3 linked regions of the Drosophila melanogaster genome follow. The protein of the gene in region 1 interacts with the protein of each later gene in a biochemical or structural test. Each region holds a gene or a part of one and is shown on either strand. Other genes may lie near its edges.

Region 1 (5,022 bases):
ACGTTTCCATTTTCTGGAAGAATTAGATTTCTCAGAACTAAAATACATCAATTCATAATCGAGCAGTAACTCGAGCAGCAAACTCGAGAATGCAGAACGGAGGAAAAAACAATCATCGATGTCGAACAAAAACAAAACTGCGGGTTCCAACTTTCTGCAGGAGGAGGAGCTCCTGCAGGAGGTAACGAGAGCAACGAGAGGAGCAGAAGCCACAGAGGGGAACTGGCGCTGCCCCATTGCATACCCCACCATAACGTAGCAAGTTTGAATATACTCGTACCCGTAAGATTCCCGAGTATATTAGGTAGCAAAATTTTTACGAGCTCATTATGGCTCATTTCGGCGATTGTTGTGATCCTTTTATGCGCCTTCGAATGGCTTCAAATGGTTATGAGGCTATTTCTCTGTCATCCCCGCGAGTCCTTCGCACTCGTGTCCTTCCCCTGGGTCCCAAATGCGGGATAGCGAGTTTCTGGGTCCTGGATTCCCGACTCACGATATTTAGTTTGCAGTTGCGACTGCGATTTTTACTTTACTTTTGCTTTGCTCTGGGTCTTCTCGCCTTTTGGCTTCGCTTTTCCTTGGGCTTTTGGTCGCATATTTAGAAAATGTCGCCGCGTCTCCGAATGTGATTCAAGTGTTTGTCAGTGTGTGTGTGTGTGTGTGTATGTGGTGGTGCGTATCTGTGTTTTGTGCAAGTTTTTGTATCTTTCGCTTGTTGTTGATTTTTAAGACTTGGCACCGAAAATTTGGTCGGCGGAAAATGGCGCGAGCAGGGGTTGGAAAAGTAGAAAAGTAAATTTCTTCTTATAATAAGTTTATTTTGCAAACACTTGTGGCAAGCAACTTTGTTTGGTCGCCGTCGGTTTCTGGCTTAATCTACGAGCCGTTTGTGCGAATGTGGAAACTTTGACAAATATTTGCGAAACTTTCGCGAATGGCGCGGCGTTCTCGGTCTGCAAGACCCCGATCTATTTGCATTATGCATATGAATTTATTAGCATCAATTCCCACCATATTTACATTGACATTAATATCCCATTGAAAGTATTGGCGAACGGATTGAACATTTGGATTCGAATGCGAATTTGAATTTGAATAGGAAAAGGAAAACCGCAGCACACAAATTTTCCGGATCCCTGGCTTCTATTACCGTACAATGCCGAGTTGGGGTTGACTTATTATCAATAAACTAATGCTAAACACGAGACTTTTAATAAATAAAAAATAATGTCTTCATTAATATATTATAATTCGTTTTTAAAGGCCTAATAAAGCCTTTAAGTGATAAGTATCTTTTTATGCCATACCACATTGAATTAAGCTTATAGTTTTTGAGGTAAAGGTAAAAACGATTAATTTACTAATATTTTTCTAAATTGTGAAACAATTTATACGATATTTACTTCCATAGAAATTAAATTAATAATTACAATATTCCGACTATTCTAATAAATATATTTTTTAAAACAAAAACTTTTTTGCACTTCGTTGTGTGCAAATTATTCCCCAAAATATTGAACAATTAAATAATGACCAGCTTAAACTGAATAGAATTAGATACAAATAATTTGCGTAAGCCATATTCTAGCACAAAGATTGGGAACTGAAACTGTAGTCATAAGTGCGCTAAAACCGAGCAAATACGGGATGCGCATCGTTTGGCGTGCAACTGGCAACTGGCGGGCAGCCCGTCGAGCGTTTTTCGCCACTCAGTTGAAGGAAAATCAGCCCTCCTCCATGATGAATTTCCCGCGGCGAGCGCATTTTCCTTCCTCGCGAATGAATGAACGAGAGGCGCCCACCCCGATAAACTTAAACTGAACGAACACTCAAGAGAGAGCGCAAGAGCGCTCAAAAACAATCTGGTTTTGAGCGTTTCGCTGGCTCTCTGTTTCTGTTTTCCACTCGTTTTTAGGCCGAGTCGAGTGAGTTGAGTCGGCAGAGCAAAGTCAAAACACTGGCAACTGCGATTTGGTGCCACATTCGTTCGATGGCAACGGATTGGATAACAGGCGCGCGCTTTGTTTTATTATCCACATTATCAGCGGCATTATTGTTATTATTGGCCCTCAGCGCTTTACCGCTCGCCCACGCGTCCGCCCGTGAATGCCGCGCGGAAAAGTCGCTTTCCACTAGATTGGCGTCCAGATTCGAGGAAATCCGTCAGCAGACGCATTCGCGCCCGTTCGGTCAGCACTATGGCTAATAATCGTTCAAATCGTTAAAACCATAAAAATAATAATAATAATTGCAATAACAATAAACATAGTAATAATCGTAACGCTTACGAGCCTTTGATAGTGCCAAGGCAAGCGCAATCCAAGTATTCAAATTCGAATTCAATTAACAGCAAAGTGCAATTGGCTAAAAACCGAAACCAAAACGCAACAAAGTATACGAAACACTTGTGAAACCGTACAAACAATTGTGGAAAAAAATTTAAAGATTATTAAGATTGAAGTCTCAATAAACATTAGTGCTTAAATAAATTTAAAACGACCCGCGTGGAGAGTGCAATAAAAAGAATAACTTTTGAAATAAATATTTACCAAACAGAAAAATATTTTATAAATATTTAAATAAGTGAAAAACAAATTGGTTACTCTGAAACAAAGAAAATTCAAATTGGTGCTAAAACAAAGGAGAAAAAATTTCAAGAATATTTTACAAATAATAAGACATATTTAACTATATAAAACCAAACTTAATCAACAAAGACTTGGAGTGAAAATATAAAATAAATTTTAAAAAGAGTTTAACAAAATTTGTTTAAATCCAAAGGAGGCAAAGGAACAGCACAGAAAGCGAGGAAACACTCAAATAAAATCCGCCAAAAATCGCAGATCCCTGGAAACCAATTCGTGTGAAATCGGTCAAGCCCCCAACGACTTTTAGCCCGTCTCAGACGGAGCACCGCCAAGATTCTTACCGCCAGCAGCGCAATGAACTCGTACTTTGAACAGGCCTCCGGCTTTTATGGCCATCCGCACCAGGCCACCGGAATGGCAATGGGCAGCGGTGGCCACCACGACCAGACGGCCAGTGCAGCGGCGGCCGCGTACAGAGGATTCCCTCTCTCGCTGGGCATGAGTCCCTATGCCAACCACCATCTGCAGCGCACCACCCAGGACTCGCCCTACGATGCCAGCATCACGGCCGCCTGCAACAAGATATACGGCGATGGAGCCGGAGCCTACAAACAGGACTGCCTGAACATCAAGGCGGATGCGGTGAATGGCTACAAAGACATTTGGAACACGGGCGGCTCGAATGGCGGCGGGGGTGGCGGCGGAGGCGGTGGTGGCGGCGGAGCGGGCGGAACAGGTGGAGCCGGCAATGCCAATGGCGGTAATGCGGCCAATGCAAACGGACAGAACAATCCGGCGGGCGGTATGCCCGTTAGACCCTCCGCCTGCACCCCAGATTCCCGAGTGGGCGGCTATTTGGACACGTCGGGCGGCAGTCCCGTTAGCCATCGCGGCGGCAGTGCCGGCGGTAATGTGAGTGTCAGCGGCGGCAACGGCAACGCCGGAGGCGTACAGAGCGGCGTGGGCGTGGCCGGAGCGGGCACTGCCTGGAATGCCAATTGCACCATCTCGGGCGCCGCTGCCCAAACGGCGGCCGCCAGCAGTTTACACCAGGCCAGCAATCACACATTCTACCCCTGGATGGCTATCGCAGGTGAGTGTCCTGAAGATCCGACCAAAAGTGAGTGTCCACTGCAGCACAAGTCCACTGAAAGTCCCCCGAAATCCCATCCCTTCTGTCCTCATCCCTGCAGTGCCAAAGCTTTGTTGTTTTCCCAGTTGTTATCAAGCTCAACAGATTGCAGCTATGGCAACAAAAGTCATCCTGTGATTAATTGCCGTCTCTGCTCCAATTAACAGACAAGTCAACATGTAAGGCAATATAATGAAGAGCTCGAATCGATCATGGGAAAAACAGATAACAACTTGTAATGTAAGACATATGAAAGCAGGCAGAACAGACCTTTTTATGGCAGGTTCTTAGGGAAAAGACACAACACCTTATTGGCAATCAAAAACTTTAAGCGATTTAAAAAAAACAAAAACTAAGAATGTATTATGGTTATAGGAAGCCAAAAAACAGTCCTAGTTAATATTGTGTATATTCAAATTGGCTGAAAAGTTTAGAAAAAAAGATGTGATAATACTTGGTAAAAAAATTAAAAATTTTAATAAAAAATAGTAAAATTATATTCTTCAGAGGAAAAAAATTAGGACAAGTATTTTAGATTTATTAAGTGTTAAAAAGGCAAAAACCCCCTTGGCTAACTCAAAATTATTTTCCAATAATTCTATTTAAAGGCACCCATTTGCGTGGCCATAGTTTATTCGCTGGCCGCCAATTTCAGCGATTTAATCACTCTAAGCGAGATTTTATGGCTGTGATCTCGCTTAGAGTGATTAAATCGAGTGAAGAGCCATGAGTAGCTAAAATAAAAAAATAAAAAAAACCAGCTCAGACCCTTCGATTTCACCTGCTCCGCTCCGCGACACCTTGCAGCGCTACGTCTGCCTCATAATTTTCAACACTTTGTTTACTAATTTTTGTCACCTTTGCTTTTAATGATGCTCGGCGGTAATTGTTGCAGCGCTGGCAGCCCAAGTGAGCTGCAATTTGTGCAACAAGAGAGCGGCAACGAGCAGCGTGAGTTATGGCATGCGGCTTAAAAAGAGCTGCAAAATAGCAACGGAGAAGTCAAGAAATAGCAAAAGGCAGCAAAGGCAGCCACAGGAGTCGGCGAGAAAGGGCAAGAATCCTTTCAGGACACACACTGCGCGCAGAAGTCGCGCTTATTACGGTTAACTACGCCATTATGTAATTACGTTCAGCCCCTCACCGCTCGACTTTTCCACGGGTTTCAGTCACCAGCCGAGCGAGGCGAACGGCTTGCGTCTGGGCCGAGATTGCCGTTTGGGCCAAGAACAAAGCCAAGAGTAGGTCAGCCGAAGGAGGTCTAGGTGCTCGAAGATCGAACGTAAACTGCACTCAAGC
Region 2 (5,863 bases), on another chromosome or scaffold:
AAATTGTAATTGGAACGCGAAGGTGTTGTCGACGTCCGCCACTACCGTCTATATATATATGTATCCATATTGTTGGGGCATGTGTTCTCGGCATAACAACCTTCTCTGGCGACCACAAAACGCACAACACTTTAGACAACCGTCAAAAATGTCAGAAATTCCCCAAACTTTTTGAGTATTTTCACGAATCGATAGATATGCATATTTGTAAGACGTGATTGTTGATTAAGTTCAATTTCATTTAATTATTAAGCAGAAATTAAGTGTAGTAAAATCAAATTAACTTCTAAACGTTTTTTTACTCATCTTCATTAGAGTCAACTTTATTAGTTTCTATAAAAACACTGCCAGGTGGTTTCGCTATAAAAAAAATATTGTAAACACCCGTTTTTAGCCAACTTGAATGTTTAAAGCCTGACTGACTCATTCCAATGTAACTTTGTTGACGATTCGTGGTTTTGGTATAACTTCACTAATCAGTGGTCAGAGTCCAAGTCAGGCTTTAAAAATATTTCCCAAGAACAAACGTCAAAGATAACGTAATTTCCTTTTATAGATCGTGTAACCTAAATATGTGTCATCTACCTTTACTGAGCTCAGCCTGGTTAAACTAATTACATGGTTATTACCATTTCTTAAAACTTAACCCATATTTTGTAAATAATAGATGGCTTAAGCAGTTATTTAAAATATCACTTTCGGTTGTAACGAAATGTGTGTGACGCACTTTGGCTTTTTACTACCAAATAAACAATATAATTTAAGCTTCATTTTCACTGTAATATTCCCAGTTTTCACTGCAATGCCCCTCTTCTCATTCTGCTAATGAATGGTTAGTTTTCTGATGCCCGACTATTCCGCGTGTCGCGTAATTATAGTCAACCTTCGATAAATCATTACTCCAAAACAAAACAACAAATAATATATGAAAAACGTGAAAATCCAACGCTGCACGTAGAAGCCATCAAGCTGAATCTAAGCGTCCGGCGGAGCACGTGTGATCCACGCAGCCTTGTCCACAGCGATTTCCATTTCATTTAGCCCGTTGGCGGCTATCGATCAAAAGCCAAAAGGGCGACCTTCACTTAATTGAGGCGTACGGCATGCTGAATGAGTCGGTTGTACAGACTGGTCTGGAAAATGCTAGGGGGATAACTATAGCCACCACCCACTGCCCGATCGCCCAACCACCCAACCACCCAACCACCCACTTCCGCCTAGCGTGCGCACAACCTTGTGATCTTGTTTACTGTTTAGCGACCCCCGAGCCGCAGATACACAGTACACAGCACAAAAAACCGAACCTGTCGCACTGGGGTGGCGTCATATAGCCAGCTATTTTCACCTTCTATGGGACGTCGTCGCGTTGGCCGCATGAATCAGCAAACCACGAACGGCGAGCCACCAGAAACCACCGCAGAAGCAGCAACAACACCAACACCACCGCGACCATCACCAACAGCACAGCCAGAAACACAGCCTCTTGTGAATCCCTCAGTTAGCAGAGCCCAGCAGAGTCAAGCCAAACCGATCGCTGATCGACCGACCGACCGACGATCACCAATGGGGGTTTCGCAGTGTGATTTCCAAAAAGGAAGAAATGCCCATTCCCGCGAGCCACGGGGGCGTATGAGTAACGCGGTGTGTACTTTAGGTACCGCTCACAAGCGTGAGCACGCACACACACACACACACACTGAAGCGAGCAGGTAGCGCATAATGTATACCCCTAGGTAGCCGCAATGCCAGTGCAATTGTATTGGTGCGGTCGTGTGGCTCGCGCTCGCGTCTCGCAGCGGCGATTTAGCCTACGAACCTGTCGATCAATCGTCAGTCTTCCGCCGAGAGCCCAGCGATAAGGTAGTCCCGCTACGCTCCGCAACATCCAGACGCAGTAAAGCAAATACTTATATATATATATACATACATATATATAGCGCAACCATCCGAAAGCCGAACGATCGATCTTCTGCTTCGTGCCGAGTCGTTTCGGTCTTTTAATCGCACTGCAGCCAGAACCTGCTGCTCATTCGCCTGCCGTATTTCGTAGCGTGCGGTTCTATCGCTCCGCTTTGATAAACCGAATCGAAATCTAGAGAACCCCCCCAGACACAATACCATTTTACGTGCTTCTCTGCGACGCTGCGCGAAAGTGAAACCACCAAGTGAACTTGAAAAAAAAAAAAACTGACAACTTGAGTTATTCTAAAAAAAGCAAAAAAGCAGTGAACTTATATTGCAAAGAGCAGCAAATTCAGATTTGCTGCCAAGTGAAAACCAAACTGTGCCTCAAACTCAACAAACAATATCTGACCGAAATGGTTACCGGCGTAACAGCAGCCAACATGACCAACGTTCTGGGCACCGCCGTTGTGCCGGCCCAGCTCAAGGAGACGCCGCTCAAAAGTGACCGTCGGGTAAGTTTCTTTCGAGAAAAATAAGACTCGAAAAAAAAAATCCAAAGCCAAAAACAAAAAACCCCGTCAATGGATTAAATCAGAACCTCTAGTTCCCCGAAATCTGTGGATTAACTGAAGCGAACCAAACCGAGAATTCCCCTAATTGAGAGCCACCCACTTCGAGCTCAAGTTGATTTCCATTCGCGACTGTGGGCGACTGGCCCCATCAATCCCGCTGCCCAAATGCATTTCCTTTTTAGCCATCTCCCACATGGCTGGCTGGGAATAAAAATACGAAAAAAGAAAAACACTCTGAGCCAGACCAAAAAAAGGCCGCAACTGCCGTCGGCGCGCCAACACAAAGCGAATTTATCTCGCGTCGCGTTGGTGGCATTTACTATATGGCATATGGCATACTACTCCGACTACACACACGCTCCATCCATTCATGAGTGCCGCCCAAAATTGGCTGGCGTAGCTGCCCACCAGCTCCCCAGATTCGGACTCGGATTCGGATTTGGCTGCCACTTGGCGCGTGCGTCGCGTGGTGGCTGCAATTGTCGGTCATCAGCCGCCGTTTTTGGCCATTCGAACGGCACCGGTTCAATGAGTTGGCCAGAAAAAAAAAAACTGACTTCATGCGAGTCCAAATTTGGCAACTTGTGCTCCCTAGATAATAATGTACCTAGTTATGGCATCTTCGAATTTCCCGCTCTGACCTTGTCACATTCTCTTTATTTTTGCTCATACCTGGTTGGTTTATTTATAGCCACTGCCTGTAATTTATAACCGCCAAACTATTTTTAAATAAATGCCTCGGCCGAGTGGCGCTATAAATAGAGCACGCGCCGTGCGACTAAATTTGGCCGCCAGCCAGTCAATCCGCTCCCCAACCTACGCCGCCTCCTCCTTGATCTCCTCCAATCCAATTGAAGACCCATGCAGCTTCCTCTATTTTTGGGTCGTTGCATGAGGTCAAATTAGCCGTGCAAAAGCCGTGACTAATCGATGTTTTTTTTTTCCATTTCTTGCCTCTTGCAGTCGAACAAGCCCATCATGGAGAAACGCCGACGTGCCCGTATTAACAACTGTCTCAATGAACTCAAGACTCTGATTCTGGATGCCACCAAAAAAGACGTAAGTATCTGACAAAAATATAAGTTTAAAGCCACAAATAAAATAAAAAAAACTACATATTTGAAATTATCTCAAATATTTTTTAAAAGTTTAAATCATTGACTAATTTCCAAATTATTTTCTCTCTCTACTTTTAGCCGGCTCGCCACTCCAAATTGGAAAAGGCCGACATTCTGGAGAAGACAGTAAAGCATCTGCAGGAGCTGCAGCGCCAGCAGGCAGCCATGCAGCAGGCCGCCGATCCCAAGATTGTGAACAAATTCAAGGCCGGATTCGCCGACTGTGTGAACGAGGTTAGCCGCTTTCCCGGCATCGAGCCCGCCCAGCGTCGTCGCCTGCTACAGCACCTGAGCAACTGCATCAATGGCGTTAAGACAGAGCTGCACCAGCAGCAGCGCCAGCAGCAACAGCAGTCCATCCACGCCCAGATGCTGCCCTCGCCGCCCAGCTCGCCGGAGCAGGATAGCCAGCAGGGAGCAGCGGCACCCTACCTCTTTGGTATCCAGCAGACGGCCAGCGGTTACTTTCTGCCCAATGGCATGCAGGTGATCCCCACCAAGCTGCCCAACGGTAGCATTGCCCTCGTGTTGCCCCAGAGCCTGCCCCAGCAGCAGCAGCAACAGTTGCTGCAGCACCAACAGCAGCAGCAGCAACTCGCCGTCGCAGCAGCAGCAGCGGCCGCAGCAGCAGCACAACAGCAACCCATGTTGGTCAGCATGCCCCAGCGTACAGCCAGCACCGGATCCGCCAGCTCGCACTCCTCCGCCGGATACGAGTCGGCGCCCGGAAGCAGCAGCAGCTGTAGCTACGCCCCGCCCAGTCCGGCCAACTCTAGCTACGAGCCCATGGACATCAAGCCATCGGTCATCCAGCGCGTGCCAATGGAGCAGCAGCCCCTGTCGCTGGTGATCAAGAAGCAGATCAAGGAGGAGGAGCAGCCCTGGCGGCCCTGGTAGAGGGTGTCTGCATATGCATATCATATAGCATAGCCACCCCTATCGAATCTCCCGCTTTTAAGACTGACCCCCCACAACTCATCCAACTCGCACACATGCGCAGGCGTTGTGCGCATGCGCGTAGACATTTCACATCATTCGCCGGGATTGCGCAAATGTTGCTTTGAAGTGTTGCAAACATGCGAATCCTAAACTCGGTTCACAACTTCGTTGGCTTAGTTTCCTGGCTTATATCCTGGAAACCCGTCGACGAGGCTAAGGACCTTCATCAGACGCACCCACACACAAACACACACACGCAAACGTTGTTATAATTTATTTATTATTATATTATGTAATCGATTTGAGAGAACGGTATTCTACCAGGACATCGCCAAACTACCTCAGTCCAAGTACTTGGTGTTGAATTGCCTCATGTATCATGTATTACTCTTTGAATAACAGCAAATCAGCAAAAGTCTTCCAAACACAGAAAATGAAAATGCGAAAATAAGCACCTGAAAAGCTGAAATACTTTTTATGAAAAAGATAAACGCAAAAGCATAACTCTTACACATAGTCGTACATCTCCATTTAAGTATAGGTTTTGTACCATAGCCAGCTAAGCCGCTTAGGGTTTCTCTCGCTCTTAAGTCTAATCAAAGAATAATTATATTTATAAAACACACAAATCTATTCGTAAGGCCACGTGATATAGTGAACATAATGAGCTTCTAAGAAAACAAAACAAGAATTTGATGCAAGCAAAAGCAAAAAAATCAACAAGAAAGAAAAAACAAACAAACAACACACTAAAAAGAAATAAATTTAAAAGATTCTACTAAAAAATCAAATACGCAAAACGGATTTGTTATTGTGGTTGGGGTATCTTTTCCTGGGTTTTTTTTTCATTCGGGTGAAAGTCCCATTATGGTTCTTTTTTTTGTTTTAGAGGTCAAACGCTTTGAGTGACAGGAAACTTATCGAGCCCCCCGACTTATCGTAGCAAATTTCGACGCTAATTATTATAATGCCAATGGTGAAATTCATTTTGCTGGAGAGGATCGGCGGGGATTTCGACGATAATACAACTACGTTTTAAGGGGCTCGATTATGTCCGTTTCTGCTAATATAATCGGCACGACGAGTTGAAGGTTTTTCTGTGGCCAGACCGTAACGGATATAGATATATGTGCATCATAAACATTATATAGGAATGCCTTGATTTTCACACATCCGTTCGATAGGCCAGTAATTCGAAACAGTTGTGACGAAATAAATACTTATTATAATCCTTTGATCGATAATATTTTAAAATATTTTGCAATTTAATCATTGGTTATTCCAATCGAAGTGATCAGCAAAAGTTAAGGCGCACAAGGGTATATTTTA
Region 3 (6,041 bases), on another chromosome or scaffold:
CAGTGGTCGGGATAAATATGTGTCTTAGATACAAATCGATTCAATGGGTTGTTGATGATTAACTATTACTTACCACCGTATCTTTCAAAAGTCATATAAGATTTTGTTTCCCCTCCTTTGGGGTGCGCAATGCCAGTTCGCAAATTAGACAAAGATATCGTACTCTCGGGTATTCTTTGTGAAGTCAATCGCAAATTGACTTGGAAAATATATATGGATAAATCAAAATCAAACAAATCGCACTGCCACGGGAAATCGATAACTTTTTTTTTTTTTGATAGCTCTGATTCCGTGCTAATATTGAAAAATATTAGTAACGCTTTTAACGCGCTTATGTATCGCAAAAATTGAAATTTTTGGTCTCTCAACTATTCTGCAAAGGGAAAGAAAATAAAATTAGGAATGCGCATGAACGAACATATGTATACCACTCCGTACTAAGTATTTCTTACATTACTTTAGTTTAGCTCAAATTTACTTATAATTTCGAAGGAAAAAGGTTAATTTAACATTCAAGTATATATATATTTTACATATATATCTTTTCCTATTACTTATGTATTCAGTACTTTTGTATAATGGCCATAAAAAACACTGTTGAAGCGTGATTTTTGTGTAAGCACGAAGTAAAGTAGCTTTATGCAGATATACACTAGACCCAACGTTACAAAAATTGTGGAAAACTGAATTATTTAGTATAGATATATATAAATGTACATTTTCATGCACGTATGCATTTACATATGGATGAAAGCCACGCCATTTAAACTTTTGAGGTTGTGTTCGTTTTGGTCACAATCACTTTTCAATACCTTTTCCACAAGTTTTCTATAAAGCGTTTCTGATCACAATGAAAGTAAATTAATAATTTTACTGAATTAACCGTTTAAGAAAAGATTTTCTCCGAAGTCCACGAACATACGACTAAACGTCACAGCACAATATGACCATAACGACTTTAGTGGGCTGCAGCCTATCACTATCGATTGGCCGAATATGATGTGAATGAATTTTAGCCTTTTCACACTTTCACTTTTATATAATTTATATGGTATTTATTAAAATGAAGATATGTAATAATACGCTTAAAAACGAAAGACCATTTTTAAAAATGAAGTTGACTAAAATAGAAACAAATATATGTGTTATATAATTAAACGTAGTTCCAATCAGCCTTTTAAAATATATGTTATAAGAGTGGATCATCTGTATTTCTTCTATATTCCAATACCAATATACCACATTTTTTGTAGAGGATATCTTATTTATTTTATTGAAAAAATGTTTAAAATATTATTTCAAGAGCCACATTTTAAATAGTATCGATACCCAACTCGCAGTGAGTAAGCACTAGAATGTAACTACGGGTAAGATATCGATTGTCCACGTTTTCACTAGCAAATATAAATTGCATTTTATGGAATACTTATCGATATTCTTACAGTACTGGAAAACTTTTTCATATCGATTTATTTTTCTGCGTATACAGAACGTACTTTCGTTTCATTGTTGTCCAAAAAAGATAATAATATTATATACTTGCGGTTATTTACAACTGCAAGTAATGTGTCACTAATTTTTAGTGAAAATAACACAAAATACGACTTGTACGGCAAATAAGTATACGAGGCAATCACGATAAATAAAAAACCGTGAGTATGGAATTTCAAGTGGACGCTTCTCAATACTTACATGCACATATATCGATGTGTGGATATGTACATACACCTTGTTATAAACAGTTTAAATCTTTTCTGACGTAATAAAATCTCAAGAATGTACATGTAAAACCAACAAAATGTTTTCAAACTGCATTCAAATTAATGCTTAACCATAACCTTGTGTGTATGTAAATATAAACTTGGCAGGTTGATTTTTTTTTACCATTCTGCTGGCACTAAACATACGTACAAGTGTATGTATGTGATGCACTCGGCGTCATTTATCTGTACATGTGTAAAATGTAACGTTACCTGTGGTACACAGCAATAAATAAATAGAAATAAGTTCATAAATAGTTCGGGTAACTGCCCAGCTTCGTGCTACGCATCTGAGATACTTTTTCACCCCCAAAAAGATATGCCGCTTCATGAGATTGCGACAGGTGGAGATTATTGCATTTCCAATAGGATACCAAAATGTCTTTTCACTTTTGCTCAAATGTCTGGGGGATTATTTTGTGGTGGGGTTTGTGGGTTTAATGGCTTTGTTGGTATCTCTTCTATAGATATGATGAATTTTGTAGCAAAAGATTTAATTGGTGTATTTGTTTTCAGTTTGTTAAGTATACATTAACTCAAGTTTTTACTACATTTTTAAGGGTTTCAAACTTATGTTTTTATATAAAAAAGAAATATTTATTAAATAATAAAACACTAAAAAATCGAATTGGTAGAAAAAATATTGGGTTATTTCCTTTTTTCTTGCATGATTTTAATATTTGATGTTTAATATTATTACAGAAACTTGGATTTGTAGCTTGCTTTGTGTTGCGGCACCATGGAGGACCCCAATCGCATGTTGGCCCACACCGGCGGCATGATGGCTCCGCAAGGATACGGCTTGTCTGGCCAGGATGATGGCCAGAATGCCGGCAGCGAGAACGAGGTGCGCAAGCAGAAGGACATCGGCGAGATATTGCAACAGATAATGAGTATCTCGGAGCAATCACTTGACGAGGCCCAGGCCAGAAAACATACACTAAACTGTCACCGAATGAAGCCGGCACTTTTCTCTGTACTTTGCGAAATCAAGGAGAAGACCGGTAAGCTTAAAACCCTATATTTATCTCTCATTCAAGACCATCAAATAAGTTGAAATGGTATTATGGATTTTGTGATTTGCTTGTGATACAATTGATTTACTAAATCAAACACAATTCTTAACGTAATAGTCTTAAAACGTTCAGTATGAAATTATTTTTATCATTCGTCTTCTTCGTTAAAACTATTACAGTCCTCTCGATTCGCAACACCCAGGAGGAGGAGCCCCCAGATCCGCAACTGATGCGCTTGGACAACATGCTGATTGCCGAGGGCGTGGCCGGACCCGAGAAGGGCGGTGGCGGAGCAGCGGCTGCCTCTGCGGCTGCGGCCAGCCAGGGCGGTTCCCTGTCCATCGATGGTGCTGACAATGCCATTGAGCATTCCGACTACCGTGCCAAGCTGGCACAGATCCGTCAAATATATCACCAGGAATTGGAGAAGTACGAGCAGGCATGCAACGAGTTCACCACGCATGTCATGAATCTTCTACGCGAACAGAGTCGCACGAGGTTGGTGTATATAGATAAATGCAAAATGATGGCCATCATTTGGGTAATATAATCGTATTTCAGACCCATTACACCAAAGGAAATCGAGCGAATGGTGCAGATCATCCACAAAAAGTTTAGTTCCATACAAATGCAGCTGAAGCAGTCGACCTGCGAGGCTGTAATGATACTTCGTTCGCGTTTCCTGGACGCACGCCGCAAACGCCGCAATTTCAGCAAGCAGGCATCCGAGATTCTCAACGAGTACTTCTACAGTCACTTGAGCAACCCATATCCATCCGAAGAGGCCAAAGAGGAGTTGGCACGAAAGTGTGGCATCACGGTAAGTAGTGTAGGGCACATTAATCAACAATGCAAATCCGATTGCAGCATAGTAAATAAAACAAAACACACTCATGCAGGTCTCGCAAGTATCGAATTGGTTTGGCAACAAGCGTATTCGCTATAAGAAGAACATTGGTAAGGCACAGGAGGAGGCCAATTTGTATGCGGCCAAGAAGGCGGCTGGTGCTTCACCGTATTCCATGGCCGGTCCACCCAGCGGGACAACCACACCCATGATGTCACCCGCTCCGCCACAGGATTCCATGGGCTATCCAATGGGCTCCGGCGGATACGACCAGCAGCAACCGTACGACAACAGCATGGGCGGCTACGACCCAAATCTCCATCAGGATCTAAGCCCCTGAGGATCAGGGCTGTGAACCACTCCCAGTCCGGAGAATCCCTCATACAGTTGCGGTCAAAATAACTGCGCTGAAAAATCTAACATGCAGTTTTTTCATAATTATGCGGCTTATATTTGCTTCTTCGCCAAGAACAACAATTCTTAAGGGATTTTTAAATTCAGCTTTCTGTCCTTTGGTTTCGAGTCAGATAAGTTTAAAATTCCCATCAATTTAGATATAGTTCCGATAGATATACATAAATACGTGAGTAGAATATAAATACGTAATAGTTAGTTTGTGCTTGCTACATTTTGGTTGGCAGAAAAAACTTTGCCTGCTTAAATCAAAAAAGAAAGTAAATAAGCTGATATGGTTTTTTAATTGACACAGTCTCCTGCTTTTTAACAATATATGCATGCAGGATGTATTAAGAAGTCGACAATTGAATAATGGCCTAATTAAGAATATTTTTTGCCCGAACATAAAACGAAAAGTTTGCTCGCTTTTTTTTTTTAATTCACAATCAATTGAAATGGAAAGCATGTTGTTTGTGGCATGTCAACTGTAAAATACATAAATACGTAATAATTCGCTTAAGCGATTATAATTTGATCAACGTTCTTTAAAAAGGGTTAATAACCAATGCAGTGACTTTTTCTGCATAGCCCCATTTAGCTTATATATTAACCATCGAAAACATATGCAAAGAAACTCGATTAAACTGGTAGTATACGAATATTTTCACAACGAGTGGAGGAGGCACAAGTTTCAGAGCTATTATTTTGACCGCAGCTGTGTATAAATATATTTTAATACATTTACCTACATTTGCGGGTATATACAAATATTGCATGTAAATCATACTATGACGATTCTTTTTTGGCTACAGTACGTATACGACAGCAAAATAGTGTTTACTGAATTTAAAACTGTACGAAATTTTTAAAAACTTGAACAATACGAAAATACGAAACTAAACCATGTATACGATGTATATCAAATAAATAAATAATACATGTTGTTGTTATCCGCACACACGTCAACTAATTACAAAAATATTTTGAATGTAAAAACGGAAAAGAAAAGTCTTGGATAAACAAAATGTCACATTTCTATCGAAGGACGAATTGTATTATTTAACAGCTTATAACATTTAATAGATTTATTAACGTGTATTTTAAAAGTCTCAAAACAATTGTTTGTTTCTTACATCCTAAAAAGTATTAAACATTAAATCTTAATGGATTTCTTGCTATAAAAACGAACTTCCCAACTTAATTGCATTATAAAATCAAGAACAAATTCGTCTTTCGCTTAGTAAGAAGTGTACACTACTCTTTGCCCCCAATTAAAACGGATATGAAAACAGATTATTTGAAAGTATACAAAACGATTATAATTTTAAATGATAAATAACATATGTCTTTGACAGACTTTCGCTCACATTACGGTCAAATGAAACCATTCAATGTATTTCAGTAAGTAAGGTACTGCATTAAACATTTTGGATAACAATAGAAAAATATATAAATACACAACTTTACACAAATAACTTAATAAATCAAAACGAAGTATTAATTAATGGTTTTTTGGGAGTATTAAAGAAAAGGGCGTTATCCTTTGCAGATAATCTATACACGTAATAGAAAGAGATGGAGCATCTGTAGATACACTTGCTCTTCTTTAATTAAAACTATCTGGCTCACAGATAGAAATCATTCTTTTATGTGGGGTTGGTCAATAAAAACAGAAGAATTTTAATTTTTTAGATTTTTGGCAGCTGTAAAACAGACAAAAAATTTTAATTTTAGGCGTATTTTATTTTTATTATGGTTCATTACGGCTTAATGTACTTCACCCCACATCTTACAGTTATTCCCAAAAGTGTGTAGTAATTTATATAAATCACTTTGATCGACCAATTTTAAATTTATAAATAATAAAGTAGAAATTTTAAAAAAATTCACCCGCTGCCCCAATGCATTCCACAATTTAAGAACACGTTCCACTTATCTAGCACTCAATCGCCGCTACCTTGACGCGCATGCTGGCACTGCCCGGAATACTTTGAATTGTCAATACGGCCACACTGTTGGCAA

The links.
Region 2: the proteins of Ubx (region 1) and hry form a complex in vitro, tested with the Drosophila melanogaster proteins (one study listed by BioGRID).
Region 3: the proteins of Ubx (region 1) and exd are reported together in a solved structure, tested with the Drosophila melanogaster proteins (2 studies listed by BioGRID).

The regions. Positions count from the first base shown.
Region 1 is NT_033777.3:16,731,387-16,736,408, reverse strand, and holds the start of Ubx (ultrabithorax), read left to right. Parts: upstream 1-1,982; 5' UTR 1,983-2,945; coding exon 2,946-3,711; intron 3,712-5,022. UniProt on the Drosophila melanogaster protein: Sequence-specific transcription factor which is part of a developmental regulatory system that provides cells with specific positional identities on the anterior-posterior axis. Binds the consensus region 5'-TTAAT[GT][GA]-3'.
Region 2 is NT_037436.4:8,673,932-8,679,794, forward strand, and holds hry (hairy), read left to right. Parts: upstream 1-1,827; 5' UTR 1,828-2,318; coding exon 2,319-2,417; intron 2,418-3,440; coding exon 3,441-3,536; intron 3,537-3,673; coding exon 3,674-4,492; 3' UTR 4,493-5,322; downstream 5,323-5,863. UniProt on the Drosophila melanogaster protein: Pair-rule protein that regulates embryonic segmentation and adult bristle patterning. Transcriptional repressor of genes that require a bHLH protein for their transcription (e.g. ftz).
Region 3 is NC_004354.4:15,991,010-15,997,050, forward strand, and holds exd (extradenticle), read left to right. Parts: upstream 1-1,690; 5' UTR 1,691-1,915; intron 1,916-1,926; exon of another isoform or gene 1,927-2,104; intron 2,105-2,462; 5' UTR 2,463-2,499; coding exon 2,500-2,764; intron 2,765-2,955; coding exon 2,956-3,274; intron 3,275-3,337; coding exon 3,338-3,596; intron 3,597-3,675; coding exon 3,676-3,963; 3' UTR 3,964-5,500; downstream 5,501-6,041. Other genes in the region: CG46312 (uncharacterized protein), read right to left, coding at 74-95. UniProt on the Drosophila melanogaster protein: Transcription factor which acts with the selector homeodomain proteins altering the regulation of downstream target genes such as wingless (wg), teashirt (tsh) and decapentaplegic (dpp), thus affecting segmental identity.